2 linked regions of the Anolis sagrei genome follow. The protein of the gene in region 2 binds, or shares a complex with, the protein of the main gene of each other region. Links are inferred from orthologs where the notes say so. Each region holds a gene or a part of one and is shown on either strand. Other genes may lie near its edges.

Region 1 (7,422 bases), on a different chromosome or scaffold from region 2:
GCCCCTTCTTCGCTTTGGCAAGGGGCTCATTTCAATTATTAATCTATATATATAAATTTCCTACTGGCGTCCAACGGGGAAGCAAAACTCTAAAACCTCTCCACAAAACTCTACCAAAATTGCCATGCCCCAAGGACAACCCACTAGGTACAAACTAATCCACTCTGAAATCAAAACCACACAACAACAACCACAAAAAACGGGAAAGCAACTGAGCATGCGCACTGGCGCAAACTCCCCGACGTGCGCGCACATATGGCCCCTCACTCTCCCCCCCTCGGCGCGGCACACACACATACACCCGCACGCGCGCGCCCCCTCACCCCCCCGGCGCGGCACACACACACACATGCGCGCGCACCCCCTCACCCCCCCGGCGCGGCACACACACACACACGCATGCGCCCTCACCCCCCCCCGCACGGCACATACACACACACGCGCGCCCCCCTCATCCCCCCCGCGTGGCACACACACACACGCGCCCCCCTCACCCCCCCCCCCCCGCGCGGCACACACACACGCCCCCCTCACCCCCCCCCCCGCGCGGCACACACACACACACGCCCCCCTCACCCCCCCCCCCACGCGGCACACACACACACGCGCCCCCCTCACTCCCCCCCCCGCACGGCACACACACACACACGCCCCCCTCACCCCCCCGGCGCGGCACACACACACGCCCCCCTCACCCCCCCCCCCGCACGGCACATACACACACACACACACGCGCCCCCCTCACCCCCCCGGCGCGGCACACACACACGCGCGCGCGCGCCCTCATCCCCCCCCCCCGCGCGGCACCCTTTCTAAACCCATCCCCCCTCCCTTCCTCCCTCTTACCCCTCACGTTACCTCCAAGCCACGCCCCCTTCTAATCTGTCAAGGAAGAAGGGAGAGAAAGAGGGAGGGAAAGAAAGAAGGAAGGAATGAGGTAGAAAAGGAAGAAAGGAGAGAAAGAGGAAGGGAAAGAAAAAGGGGGGGGAGGAAGGAAAGTTAGAGAAGGAAGAAGAGAAGGAAAGAAAAAAGGGAAAGAAGGAAGGAAAGAAGGAGCGAAGGAAGGGGGGAAGATGTAGAGAAAGAGGGAGGGAAAGAAAGGAAGAAAGAGAGAAGGAAGAAAAGAGAGATTGCAGAAGAGAACAAGGAAGAAGGAAGGAAAGAGGGAGCGAAGGGAGGGGGGAAGATGTAGAGAAAGAGGGAGGGAAAGAAAGGAAGAAAGAGAGAAGGAAGAAAAAAGAGACAGCAGAAGAGAAAGAAAAAGGGGGAAGGAAGGAAAGCGATAGAGAAGGAAGGAAGGAGAGAAGGAAAGACGGGAAGGAAGGAAGGAAGGAAACAGGGAGTGAAGGAAGGAGGGAAAGAAGGGGAGATAGGGGGAAGGTTGGCCACAGCAATGTGTGGCGGGTACAGCTAGTATTAAATAAAATTGCTGGAATCGGGCTTCTCTGAAGGCTTGCCAAGGTAGCGTTCCCTCTTTGGTGGGAACTAAGGGTCATCTCCCCTTGGAGTTGACCTCCCACCCTAAAGTCTAGTTTGGCTTCACCAGTGCTGGGCCAGGCCAGGCCAGGTGGGTCCCACCCAACGCAGTGTAGCAGCCTGTGTCATCCCTGCCTTGTGCCCGTCTGCATTGGGAGATGAGTCAGAAGCCAAGCCACTTTTGAGACCCCGGTTCAGAAATGCCTTCTGCTCCAAACTTGAAACGGGCAGGAAGGGAGAAGCAACTGGAGGAACGCAAGCCATGATGCCACAAAGCTGACAAGGAGAGAGAGAGAGAGCCAAACACCTCCACCCATTTCCAGGAACTGCCAGGGGTCATTTCCCCCAAAATCTTCAAGAACAGGCCAACGTCTCCTCAAGTTCCATCATTTGATCCCCACTCCAAAGGCATCAGATCCCGTCTGATCCTGGATGAAAAGCAGGTTCTGCCTGGGTGGGTCTCCTGGGGGTGACCTTTCAGAGGAAGGAAATCACCTCCTTGGATGAAATGCGTGGGGCTGGCACCAACACACACGTGGCCTTGACACCCCAAAACACTGAGTCCTGTCTGGTTTGGGGAGTTAAGCAGTGTCAGCCCTGGTTTGTAATTGGGTGGGAGACCGCCAGGGAATCCCAGGTTCTGTAGACTGCGAGTTGAAGGAAGGGACTGGCCAAGCCACCTCTGGGTCTCCCTCGTCAAGGAAATCCCATTGAAATGCTTGGGGTGCCTATCAGTCAGGAGGGGACTTGAAGGCCCAGACCCACACGATGCCGGACCTTGGTCTCTTTCCTCCAATTTGGATGGCCAGCTCCTGGAGGATGCTGGGAGTGACAATCCCGGAAGCAGCTTCCCCAAGGCCAGGAGGCCTGTCTGTGAATCCCAGGTGCCGTATTTACTTGAGTCTAACACACCATCGACTCTAATGCGCACCTCAATTTCCAAAACCCTGAAACCAAAATAGAGTATTTGCTGACCAACATAATGTTTAGCGGCGAAAGATGCACTCTTTGTAGTTTGGCCCCAAAAGGTGCGCATGAGAGTGGCTGCCTGATTAGGGTTCCTTCGTTAAAAACAGAACGGGAGGGAGCGCCAGACCGTCCAGCAACGGAACTGTCTTGGTTCAATGCCATGGAGTCATCTAATTTGACACGGTTTTGAGCCTTCTTGGCCAAAGAATGCTGATGCCTCACCAAAGTCCACATTCCCAGGTGACGTGGCCATTCAAGTAGAGGCGAGGCCAATCAAAGAGGAGCTCCAGGGGGTCCTGAAGCCATTCTAATATGTCACCACCCTAATTTTGGCAATGCCATTGAGCCAGAAAACAGAAAGCATTAGATTCGAGTAAATAAAACATTGGCGGCAAAAAAAGCCAATGGGATTTTGGCCTGCATCAAGAGGAGCCTAGTGTCTAGATCTAAGGAAGTGATGCTCCCCATGCTCTATTCCGCCTTGGTTAGACCACACCTGGAATATTGTGTCCAATTCTGGGCACCACAATTCAAGAGAGATATTGACTCTAAGCTGGAATGTGTCCAGAGGAGGGCGACTAAAATGATCAAGGGTCTGGAGAACAAGCCCTATGAGGAGCGGCTTAGGGAACTGGGCATGTTTAGCCTGAAGAAGAGAAGGCTGAGAGATGATAGCCATGTATAAATATGTGAGAGGAAGCCACAGCGAGGAGGAGGGAGCAAGCTTCCTTTCTGCTTCCCTGGAGACTAGGATGCAAGGGAACAATGGCTTCAAACTACAAGAGAGGAGATTCCATCTGAACATGAGGAAGAACTTCCTGACTGTGAGAGCCGTTCAGCAGTGGAACTCTCTGCCCCGGAGGGAGTGTGGTGGAGGCTCCTTCTTTGGAAGCTTTTAAGCAGAGGCTGGATGGCCATCTGTCAGGGGTGATTTGGATGCAATATTCCTGCTTCTTGGCAAAATGGGGTTGGACTGGATGATGGCCCAGGAGGTCTCTTCCAACTCTTTGATTCTAGGATTCTATGAAATAGAGGATTTCTCAGACAGGAAAGGGCACCGCGTCCTCTGAAGGTTCCTTGCCCAAGAAAAGCCCCCCTCTAGATCACTCTACGTCCGCAGGCGACTTGGAGGCCCAGAACAAGAATGCCTCTGGCCTTCCTGACCCATTGCTGAGCCCCTCCCATTTCCATCCCACAGGCCCCCTTGCCTCCGCAAATCCGGGCCCTTCCAAAATGGGGCAATGTGTGCCTTGTGGGTGTTAGTGGGGCGCCCATCCCAAGACCTTCTTCCACCTTTCCATGCAGGCTGAAAGGGGGGGTCCTTCCATGGGGGGAGTGTAAAGGCCGGCCTATGTGTATATTGGGATGTTGGGGGGCGGGGAAGGAGACCGGGCGTCTTCTCTCCCCGCATTCTGGGCATGGAGGAAACCGGATCCCGGTGTCAACAAATGAGGCCGGAATATTCGGGATGCAAGGAGGCAGCTGGGGAGGGGGCTCGGCATGGCATGCGAGGGGGGTGGGTGCTCGGCATGCCTTCCCCCCGGGGGCCCTCCCCACGGCAGAGACCTCAGTGCAGGGGCCAAGGGAGCAGACCCCCTCTTCCCCCTCCCCCCAAGGAGGGAGACCACCCAACCCTGCGGCCTCCTTCTCCATATGGGGAGGGTCTATTTTTACCCCTCCGAGGATGGGGCTGCCGTCAGTCCCTTGCCATTCACTCAAGTCAGGCCAAGGGTAGGATTTCGCTCTCCCTGAGGGTCCCACACACACACGCACTCACACACACATATCTGCACAAGACACAGCCAGGAGTGGCTTGGCTAAATTTGGTAAAATGCCTGGCCGGCCAATGAGCAGCCGAGGAGGAAGGCCATTGGCTGACCAAAGAGCCACCTCCCTTGGTGCCCAATGAGGGCAGTGTGGGCGGAGCCGTGCCCAGTTGTCCAGGTATAAAAGGCCGTGCCAGAGCCTCGGACGGAGCGGTTTGCCATCTGACCCGGAGAAGCAGGTGTGGGACCCGTCGTCGTCGTCACCAGTGGCCCTTCTCTCTCTCGCTCTCTCTCAGTGGGGTGCCCTTAGCCTGCCAACATGGTAAGACCACGGGTTAGGGTTAAGGTTGGGGTTTGCATGGTCAAGGAAGTGGTTTGCATGGTCAAGGAAGGGCGGTTGGGGCTGGACATGAGGGCAGAAGATGGCAAGGGACAGGGCAAAGGTTACGGTGAAGCTGAAGGACTCTCTGGTTGAAGCTGTTGGTGGTGGGGTCATTGCAAGGAGTGGAGTGGGGCATTTGGGTCTGGGGGAGGCCGATGGGGCCAAGGAGGGTCTCAGAGTCATCGAAAGGAGCAGAGCCAAGAGTCCCCTTGGCTGGGTCAGATCCTCTCCTTCAGGGTGGACAGCTCCGAACTCTACAGCCGTGTGGGCTGGACGGGTCTGGCTTGGGAGTCCAGCCAAGGACGCAGCAGCAGGGAAAGCGAGCTGCCGGTCACAAGGAGGCTTCATGCTTGCCCACCCACCCACCCGCCCGCCCACCAGAGACGAAGCCCCAAGGAGTAACCCGATCCGAGGCCGACAGGTGTTGCGTGGAGCAGCTGGTGTCCAGCCCTGGCTCCCTACAAGGCCCGAGCCCGGGGGCCACGGCTAAGAATAGCCCGGGATCAAGGAGGAGCGCCCTCCCCCCCATCGCCACAGGCGCCTGAAGATCCAAGTGGACAATGGCATCTGGCCGGAGAGGACGAGGAGGAGGAGGAGGAAGAGGAGCAAGGCCAGGATGGAGCAAAGCAGCCATGAAGCCTCCAGAAAGGCCACCCAATGGAAGCCAAGTTATCCTGGACTTGCCCAAGGGACCGGACAGACCCCACTTTGCAAAGGCTGCCCTGGAATGGGATGCTTTGGGGCATTTTTGAGCCAATGATGTCCACCTTGGCCACATGACTGGCCGGTCACCCTGGTCCACAAGGGCCTGGAGCATCTCTGCAGGGAGATGCCTGGAGGCAGCAGCCTAGTTCTGTGCGGGGAATTCAAGTCCATCTTTCTGGCCAAAGCCAGTGAAGCCCTATAAGAGCCAAGGGATCTTTGGTGGTCCACAGAGAGGGGCCCAATGGGGACAGGGAGGGAGTCTGGCCGTCTGTCGGGAGGGGTCAGGTGTTGCCCTTTCCTGGACTTTGTGCTTGCCTTGCAGACGGACCAGCAGGCGGAGGCCCGGTCCTACCTCAGCGAGGAGATGATTGCTGGTGAGTCAAAAGGTTGGAGATGGGGTGGTGTCTCTGGGGGCAAGGAAGCCTGGCTTGGCCCTGGGTCAGGGGAGAAAGCCCACTCATTGGAGGGCCAGCAGTGACCTGGGTGGGTCAAGCGCTTGACCATTGCCGTGGCCAGAGCAGCTCCCTCACAGGACTCACTCCGCAGCCTGGCTGCCTGCCTTTCTCCCTTGCGGAGCCACAGAGAAAGCAGCTGGACATCCATCCATGAAGCTGACCAATGACAAACAGTCCCAGGGGTGGACAGAGGGTGACACGACACCAGGCCCTGAGAGCATCCCCAGTGCAGAGGGAAAGGTGCCGCAATCCCTTACAAAGAGGCAGCGGAAATCCAACTGGTGTGAGGGCAAAGGCCTTGACGGAGGGAGCAAGGGGTCAGAGGGTCAAGTGCTTGACCCTTGCTAGGGCCCCTTCTGCCTAGCCCTGACCTTCTTGCCCCCAATCCCCAGGAAGGCTTTGGAAGGGAAGGAGCAGGTGGAAGGGGCACCCAAAGGCCACCTAGCCCAGGTGCCTTGAGAAGGGCATTCCTTTCCTGGCAGAAGGGGGTCAGACTAGGTGGCTCCTGGGAGCCCTTCTTGCAAGATAATTCACCATGGCATCCAATGACAAACAGCCCCAGGAATGGAAAGAGGGGGGGGGGAAGAGAGTGACCAGACATCAGGCCCTGAGAGCATCCCCAGTGCAAAGGGGGTCGGAGGGTCAAGTGCTTGACCCTTGCTAGGGCCCCTTCTGCCTAGCCCTGACCTTCTTGCCCTCAATCCCTGGGGAGGCTTTGGAAGGGAAGGAGCAGGTGGAAGGGGCACCCAAAGGCCACCTAGCCCACCTCCCTTCTCAGAGGTGCCTTGAGCAGTGCGTTCCCTTCCTGGCAGAAGGGGGTCAGACTAGATGGCCCCTGGGAGCCCCTTCCAGCAAGACAATTCTGCCGAGAGCCACAGCTCCACCTTGCCATTCCCGTCCATGCCATTTCCCTTCATTATTATGGGTTGTTTTTACTGCCTGCGTTTCCAAGGGGCCTCAGGGAACTCACAGTTGGGGGGGGGGGGATGCCAAAGATAGAAACAGTTAAAGGCAGGTATGGGCCATCTTCGGGCCTCTCTCCATGGGTGTTAAGCAGCTGAGATGGAAAGGAAGGGGCCTGAGGCTGTGGGGAATGATGGGAGTTGGAGTCCAACACCCATGGAGGGAGGGAGGGCCCAAATTGGAGGAGACGCTCAACTTCTCTTGAAGTTGCCCAAAGGCCAGGCGGAAAGACACTATCAGATCCCTCCTGACAGATAGGCATGCATCCATCCATCCTCTGCTTAAAAACCTGTAGCAAAGGGGAGAGAATCCTGGGGTCCTAGAGAAGGAAGGGACCCCAAAGGCCATGCAGTCCCACCCCCTTCAGCCAGGCAGGAAGATGATTCAACCCCTCCCAACAGATTATGACCCAGTAATAACACTTTATTTACATTCTGTGATGAAATGAAAAGGATGTGTAGTTCTAGAAACTATGCCATGCAGACGAACAGTACATAACAAGTGGTTTACTCTTCGTAACTCAGAACAACATATGTACAATCCTGTGGTCAGTTGCATTAATTCACATAATGTCCTGTTATGAGAGATTTAGAAAGGTTTTTCTTTTGTCCACGTAGAGAAACTCCTTCAGCAGCTCGTGAAGCAAAAGCACACTCCAAACTCCGTCTCCCTCTGCTTCTCTACAAGCACCGGCATAGCTCAAGCC
Region 2 (7,775 bases):
CATACTCAGAAATGGAAACATACGAACATACAATGATATTCCAAAATCACACCTACACTTACTATTGAAAGAAATAAGTGTGTTACATTAGCATAACAAGCAATAGAAAAGTCAAGTAGCACATTTGGAATCAACTGAAAAGAAGAAATTGCCCAGTTAGTCTCAAAGGATTCCTGGGTTCCTTTTTAAACTTTTAAAATAAAACAGATTTGGATGTGTTAGTTAAAAAACATTACCTCTTTGGTAGTTTTCTGTAATTTCATCTCTGTGTCATATCTTTCCTCATCAACTTCCTCTACCTTGGCATGCAGCTTTTTGCAGAATTCCTGTTGAGCAACAAGTACAGACTATAAAAGAAGGTTGCTTAAGACATGTATTCTGCATTTCATTTACCAACATTTCCAGCCCTCTACAGGGAAACATATGTGTTGACTCAGGTGATTTCAGGCATTTTCATAGTGAGTTTACAGTAAGGTTTATTTCTTTAAAATCTGAAAACCTAAACCAAGTAGAAAGCTTTCTTAATGAGTCAGATTGGGGTGTGAGTAGTGGGGGATAGCAAACACAAAATGACTACTGAACACTCTACATAACATGCTCCTAAAACACCTAGATCAGCATAGCAGAAGTTACGGCAGGATATATTTTGTAGATCTCCAAAGATTATGCATTTGATCCAGTTTTGTTAAACAACAGATACTCCAATCACCCTGAATTTTGCCCAAGTCTTACTGGTGCATAGCAACATAGGACTTTTGTTGAATACCTTTATTTAGTTCATTCACAAGGATGTAGCAACTAGGACGGGGCAAAGTGATAGCATTGCCCTCCTGAAATTAAGAATTTTCTCCCCACCCCTCACTCCACAACTTCCATTCCCAAATTTCCAGCATTGCAGCACATTAAAACTTTAGTTGATCATCTAGGAAAAACAGCTTAGACATTGCAAGGAAAAGCCAAAGTTGCCAAGGGTATTAGGCATGGACAATGTCTTGCTCTCAAATGTTAGAAAGGTGGGACTGAAAAAAATCATTTGAAGAGCAGAATTCTTTTTTGAAGGGCAATATTCCGATTCCCCTCCCAGAGCAAAATCCTGGTAGATTCCTCTTTCTAAATACAACATATACCCGTAGCACAAATCCACACTGCCATAAGTACTGTATACTGTATCCTACAGTCATGTAATCCACAAACCCAAGATATCCCATTGTTCACTGGTCAACTCCAAAATGAGAGAGAGGCTCTTGTATATGCTTGCAAAACAATTTACAAAACTACCATCTGGATTTGCATTTGTGAGCTGAAGGAAAATTTCATTGGGGGCAGGATATCTATTGGGTGAATAATGCTCAAATTTAGTCACCTCCCCCATTGACTGTAATATATACTGCTTAACTTTGCCCAAAGTATAATTCTGGCAACCCTACCAGATGTCTGCCACAGAATTCCAAGTGAGGTTTGAGAATTGAAGCCTGATTGGAGAACCTGTGAGTCTCTTGGTGATGTTGTTGGACTTCAGTTCCCATCAGATCCAGTGGTGAGGAATTATGGAAATGGTAGATCAATATCTGAGGGGAATTGGAATCAGCCCTATCTGTCTTTGTGTATCAGTGAATGGTTGGACTGGATAGCCCATGAGGTCTCTTCCAACTCTATGATTCTATAATGGTAAAAGGGAGTGGGCAGATCAAATCATTACCTGCAGTTCCTGCATGGAACCTGGGAGTTGAAGAGGTGGGCAGTGCTCTGCCAGGTAGTCAGCTTTTTCTTGTTCTTTGGCAACTGCTTCTTTCTCAAGTTCAGTAGCAGCAATTTGGAGCATAACACTCTATGAGAACAGAAGTGGGAGAAACACCATTATGAGTGTGTGCATGGCATGTAAAATAGCACAAGATAAAACCAGAAGTTCTTTTGGGGTAAATTGTAAGATTATATTTGTATCAACACTGCAATGTTAAACAAATTTGATACCATCTTAGCTTTCTTCACCCTAGTGAATCCTGGGGTTTGTAGTTTGTGAGATACTTGGAATTTTCTGCTAGAGAGCTCTGGTCCTGAACCTCAGTGCTAGAGCTCCATAGCAGAGATTTCTGAGAACCTCACCAAATTATTTCTCAAGATGGAGCCATGACAGCTAAAGAGGTGTTGAAACTGTTTGAACTGTGCAGTAGATACACACTGTATTTACAATTAGTTTCTGCTATGTATTCATTGGGCAAGTCACAGCTACTTAGTGCCAGTTAATGGGTGTGCCAAATTAAAACTATTGTTATTGGATTCCAGATCAAGCTAAGTTGCATTTCATTCCACATCTAACTGGTCCATCCATGTGGAAAGAAGAGTTGTTGGCTTTTAGCCAAGGTAAGGAACTCTTTCCCATATTTTTGGTTTACCTCAGTGTGGTTTCTCTCTTCAATAATTTTTCTTTCATTTTGAAAGCATCTCTCATATCAGAAATGTCATGAGCTGGGCAAAGAGCTCTTGGGAAGAGAAGATGCTGGGGTAGTAAGTGAATACATAGTAGGCTTAGCACCTATAATGATATTAAAATGAGAGGTGGCACCCCTACATATTCAGACCAGGTCTGTGTTCTACACTGCAGCCTGAACTGATGGTCCTGGTTTCAAAAATGGGGTGGAAACCCCCAGAAAATTTAGAGCACCCCATAAATGACTAATAGAAATGGGCAAAATTTTGAACATTCAGACTAGTTCTTTCTTTCTTTCTTTCTATAGATGGCAAGCAGTGCTGTTGAAGACAGGACACTCTTACCCGACAGTCTGAAAGATGAATGTCAGGGAACTTGGGGTTATTCTTACAAACCACATCTCTTCTCCAAAACAAGAAGAAATCAGTTGGGCTGAGAATCAAATCTGTTGTTATGACTCACAAGAATCAGTAGTTACCTTGAGATGCTGCCGGCGGGCAGTAATTGCCCTTTTCTTTTTCTGAAATACAAAGAAAATGAGAAAGAATTGGGTTAAACAGTGTTTGAAGTGATCTTTCCATAAACCATGTGCCTTTCCTAAGGATCCCCTCTTCTACCTCCATGCAAATGTGGGATGGAATTAAAACAATCGTCTTTGTGGCTGAAGAAGGTCTCTAACTGTATCCTCTTTCTCTGCCTATTCTATTTTTGATCTTGTCCCCCTTCCTCAGAGCAAACAGTGGTGATTAGACCCAGGGTCCTTGAGAAGAAGGCAGCATTGCTACAATAAGGATATCAGCTATTAGAACTGGCTTCACTAAACCCTAGAGCCCAAAGTGCAGTCTCTTGAGGTCTCAGGGTTAAGAGGCTTTGAGAACACAACTGCCTGGCTTATTCTACCAACTGATCCAGTTCCTGAAATGCTATACCAAGAGAGACATATAATAGAGAGGAAGAACCCAACTGGTTAGCAAAATAAACCAATAAAGAAATAAAATAATCAGAGTTTAATTAATTGATAGCAGAGTCAATATGGTGCAGTGGTTTGAGTGTTAGACTAGGACACTGGGAGACCAAGGTCCGAATCCCCATTTAGAAGTGGGGGCCATGGAAGTCTACCACACCTGGTAGGCCTGGAGCAAATCACATTGTCTCAGCTTCAGAAGAAGGCAAGGATAACACAAATTCTGCCAAGAAAATCCCTTGATAGGTTTGCCAAATCAGAAATCACGGGGGGTATACAACAACAAAATTAAATGGTACCTTCCTTTAATAATATGAGATCCAAAGTGGCTTATGACATAAGTTAAAACAGGAAAGTTAAAACAATATGTAATACATTTTAAAGCATTCAGCAATCAGTCCAATTAAAATAATTTGTTGTAATATGCCTTCAAGTGGACTTAGGGTGATCCTATATGAAGATTTTCTTGGTGAGATTTATTCAGCGGGGGTTTACCATTGCTTTCTTCTAAGGCTGAAAGATTGTGCTCAAAGTGGTCCAGCACTCAAACCACTTTATTATGCTGGTTCTCATAAAGCATTTATTTAGAACACTGCTTAAAATTCTAGAATCATAATAATCAAAGACTGATGACTGAAGCCAAATGGGCAAAGGACCAAAATTATAATTAACAGATCAGACTTCATCACCTGTTTAGGAATGCATGGTTCCAGATTTTTACAAGAGATCGGGGAGAAGAATGCAGGCTAAAAAGCAATGCCCAAAAGACAATCGTTGTATGCCTTAAGCAAAGGTGGCAAAGTGTGGCTCTCTAAATATTAGGGTATTATTCCTAGCAATTCACCAACATCTGGCAAAATCTGGTCAATTAAGGCCCTCCAGATGCTGGATAACAATAACTAGCACATTAGTGGGGGGGGGGGGAGGGGGGCATAATTTGCCAATCTCCACTATAAGGAAAAAAGCAGTTTGGGAGCAATGGAAGAACCAAGAGACAGCGGAAGAAATGTGGATTGTGCTAGTAGTACACTCTTTGGTGATGTGTTTGGGATGTAAAAATGCTGTTATGTGTTACATACTCAGCCGTTCCTGGGAAGGAATGTTTTGACAGTTTTCTACCACCTATATTCTGCAAGGTAAAAAATATGAAAATGCTACTCTTAGCTTATCCTTGCTGGATCATAGCATGTATGTCTTATACTCAGAGCATATCCTACAACTTTTCAAAACCAGAAACTCTAAGAGCATGACCATGCCTTTCTAATGAAGCAAAACAAGAACAACAACAAAAAGGGACCATATCCCTCACAGCCTTGGGACCACCCCATGCCCTCAATCTACTGTATGGAAAATTTCTGGTATTTTGACACAACTTCAATGTACAGATCAATCAGGAGTTGTCAGCTATTGAGGAATTAAATTTATTTATTTATTTTGGACATTTGTATCCCGTCCTATCTCGAACTCTGCAGAGCGATTCAGGGTGGCTAACAACCGGCACACCATGGTGCCCAAAGGGTTACATTGGCCTTCGCCAATGAGAGATACACCCTGCAGTTTTGCTATGCCACTTTCCTTCCCAGCCATTTTAGGCCCAAAGGAGGCCCCTTTTTATATGAGGAAGTGATACAGAAGTCTACTTCCTATTTCCTTGCTGCTAGAATAAAATATTGGAGACATTGGGGGTGGGGCACAAAAACATATCTTCCACAAATTATTTTGAACCCTGGTGCTGCATGTATCCATATTTCCCCCACCTGCAAGCTACATATAGATATCAGGGTCTTTCATTAAATGTTGGTAATCAAATCTTTTACATCGGCACATTAGCTCCCTGGGATAATGGTGCATTCTGTCTGTGATGCCTTGGTGCAAAGGGAATAGTGATTCACATTCCAAATAATTTATGTGCCACCAGCTGTACTTTCATTGGAGGACCTCCAGTCCAAGTCATGCTAGTTTTAAGAAACCTGATAAGGTTGCCACAGTATGAGGACAGCCCCAGATCACAATTTGGCCTTTAGAATTATCTTCTAAAGTCAGTGGAAAGACTTGGTTCAACTGCAATAGGCTTTGGTCAAATCTATCATGAATGTTCTTATGCATGCTCTGAAATGAGTCTGGAAATGAGTCTTATAGAAACTCACTGGATAATAACTCTTTTAGTGTGCAATTCAAATTTATAGGGATGGGATTCAGTACTGACTTAGCTGTGGAGATTGTGGTGAGTAAATAAAATAAAGAACTATTTTATGATATTCATATCAACAAGTTGGGCTCAACTTTCCTGAATTTCAGTGGCCTAGAAGGTGGTTATAAAAAGCAGTGTCTTTTCAGTGGTTTCCCCTTCAGTATGAAACTAACTCTCCAAGGATTCAAATCTCTTTATTGCCTGTCAGCTAGGAGGCTGCCAAATCACATTTTTCCCTTTACAAATCCTTTCAGGAATAGCATACTAATCAATACTGTAGACTTTTTGTCTGTTTATTCTCTGGTACTGGTGTATTGATTTAGTTTAGAAGTTTAAATAAGATATCTTTAATAGTGTTGAACTGATCAGAATGATACTTGCTTTTCAGGTAAGCTGCCTTAGATATCAGATCAAAAAGAGGATTTAGTGAGCATATCAAGAAATAAACAAGGGATGCTCCCTTCAACATGTAAGACTGGCAGTGCAATATTATTATTGTCCAGTTAGACTAACCAATAGGATTCCAGCATATATATTCCCCCAATGTTTGGGTCCAAGTAACATCTGTTATGGTAGGAAGTTCTTACATGCCTATGGATCTCTGGCGTGACAAGGAATCACACCATTATTGAACCTGATTCATACTATTGCTCTCTCTAGATGTGAGTTAAAGCCTATGACAACCTCAGAAAAGTCACATACCCAGTGAACATAAAGGATCAGTGATGTTGCTGGCTCAGTGCCATGGAATAAACGAAACAACTCAACTTGAAGGAGGACATGTCCAGGTTGTGCTAAGTCCCTTTGAATAGATTCTAGATTACATAACAAAGTTTGAGCAAAGCAAAATCAATCAATCAGTTGTTCTGCCAAAAACTTTCTTAAGGCGCACAAAGTATTTTTTAGTCTCCTAAACCTCATGAAAAATGAAGGAGAGGTTTGCTGTTAGTTTCAGCTGTGCCTGTCTCAGCTTTCATTACCCTTCTACAGAATGAAATGACATGATCTAGGCAGGCAATATTGTCACCTTCAAAATGCAGGAATAAACCTTCTGGTAAAATTCATTCCTGAGATTCTAACCCATTGGCTCTTTAGTAAGAGCTATAGGAATATCCATCTAGGCTGGTAAAGTTAGCATGTAGTGATTTGAACCTTAAACTCCAGTTCCAAAGATATGGATTTGAATCCCCACTTGGTCATGGAAACCCATTTAAGCAGGTCACATTCTCTAAACTGCAAAGAAATTGAAAGGTAAAGCCCCCCTGAACAAATCTTGTCAAGAAACCCCTATGATAGGACTGCCTTAGGTTTGCCATAAGTTGGAAATTACTTGAAGGCACACAACAGCAGGCTGCTAACAGAAGGACAAACAGGAATACTAAATTGCTTATTACAATGGTAGCCTCAGTAATAAGACTGAAAGAAGCCATGAGCCATAGCTTGCTCAACTGAGCTATCTCTTATTTCATGCATATTTTTATGACAGGTATTAGGGCGTGCTTAAAGGAATGGCTTGAACATCAAAAAGATATGTGGTTCATGTTTGTGAGCTCTATGTGTTGAAGATGTTGGACAAACAACACTTTCTGAGGCTGGATTTACACTGCCCTATATCCCAGAATCTGATCTCAAATTATCTGCTTTGAATGGTTTATATAAGTCTTCACTGCCAAATAATCTGGGATAAGCAGACAATTTGGGATCAAATCCTCAGATGTAGGGCAGTGTAGAAAGGGACCTGAGAGATAGGGATGCAGGTTTTATCTTCATCATGAATTGTGGGCTAATGAGAAAAGGTTTTGAGATAATTTATAGGAAAATATGAGGAGATGAGAAAATAAATTATGGTTGCCAGTTAATGGTTTCAGCCTTGAGAGATCTTCTTCACAATGGGAAGATTTTATTTCAGGATTGGTGCTCCATCATATTGTTACCATATTGATCTTTAATTCTATCTATGTCCACCCACTTCAAAAAGGGCTAAAAGGGGGGGGGGGGAACTTACCTCCTCTCTGGTTGGAGAGAAAGAGATAGACACAAGAAGAAAAGGAGAGAAAAGAGAAGAAAAGTGTTGTTAGAATAAAATGAAATTCCATAGAAAAAGTACAGAGCTGGTCAGGCTGCTCGGATGAAATAGTTCAAAAAGATTATATATAACTTTAGCAACTTAGTTGATATTCGGCAGGAAAGTA

The links.
Region 1: the proteins of TNNI2 (region 2) and TNNC2 are in contact, whole or in part, in a crystal structure (PDB 1A2X), measured with the Oryctolagus cuniculus proteins. The link is inferred for Anolis sagrei from reciprocal best matches to the Homo sapiens genes TNNI2 and TNNC2. Residues at the interface, in NP_001076252.1 of Oryctolagus cuniculus: Glu5, Asn8, Arg9, Ile11, Thr12, Arg14, Arg15, Gln16, His17, Leu18, Lys19, Ser20, Val21, Met22, Leu23, Ile25, Ala26, Glu29, Leu30, Glu33; in NP_001076114.1 of Oryctolagus cuniculus: Ser13, Glu15, Met16, Ala18, Glu19, Ala22, Lys91, Leu96, Glu98, Cys99, Arg101, Ile102, Phe103, Arg105, Ile119, Phe120, Ala122, Ser123, Glu125, His126, Val127, Glu131, Ser134, Leu135, Asp138, Phe152, Met155, Met156, Val159, Gln160.

What each region holds. Positions count from the first base shown.
Region 1 is NC_090024.1:248,918,909-248,926,330, forward strand, and holds the start of TNNC2 (troponin C, skeletal muscle), read left to right. Parts: upstream 1-4,412; 5' UTR 4,413-4,530; coding exon 4,531-4,533; intron 4,534-5,620; coding exon 5,621-5,672; intron 5,673-7,422. UniProt on the Homo sapiens protein: Troponin is the central regulatory protein of striated muscle contraction. Tn consists of three components: Tn-I which is the inhibitor of actomyosin ATPase, Tn-T which contains the binding site for tropomyosin and Tn-C.
Region 2 is NC_090021.1:244,254,658-244,262,432, reverse strand, and holds the start of TNNI2 (troponin I, fast skeletal muscle), read right to left. Parts: upstream 3,015-7,775; 5' UTR 2,907-3,014; intron 1,829-2,906; 5' UTR 1,823-1,828; coding exon 1,700-1,822; intron 327-1,699; coding exon 237-326; intron 1-236. UniProt on the Homo sapiens protein: Troponin I is the inhibitory subunit of troponin, the thin filament regulatory complex which confers calcium-sensitivity to striated muscle actomyosin ATPase activity.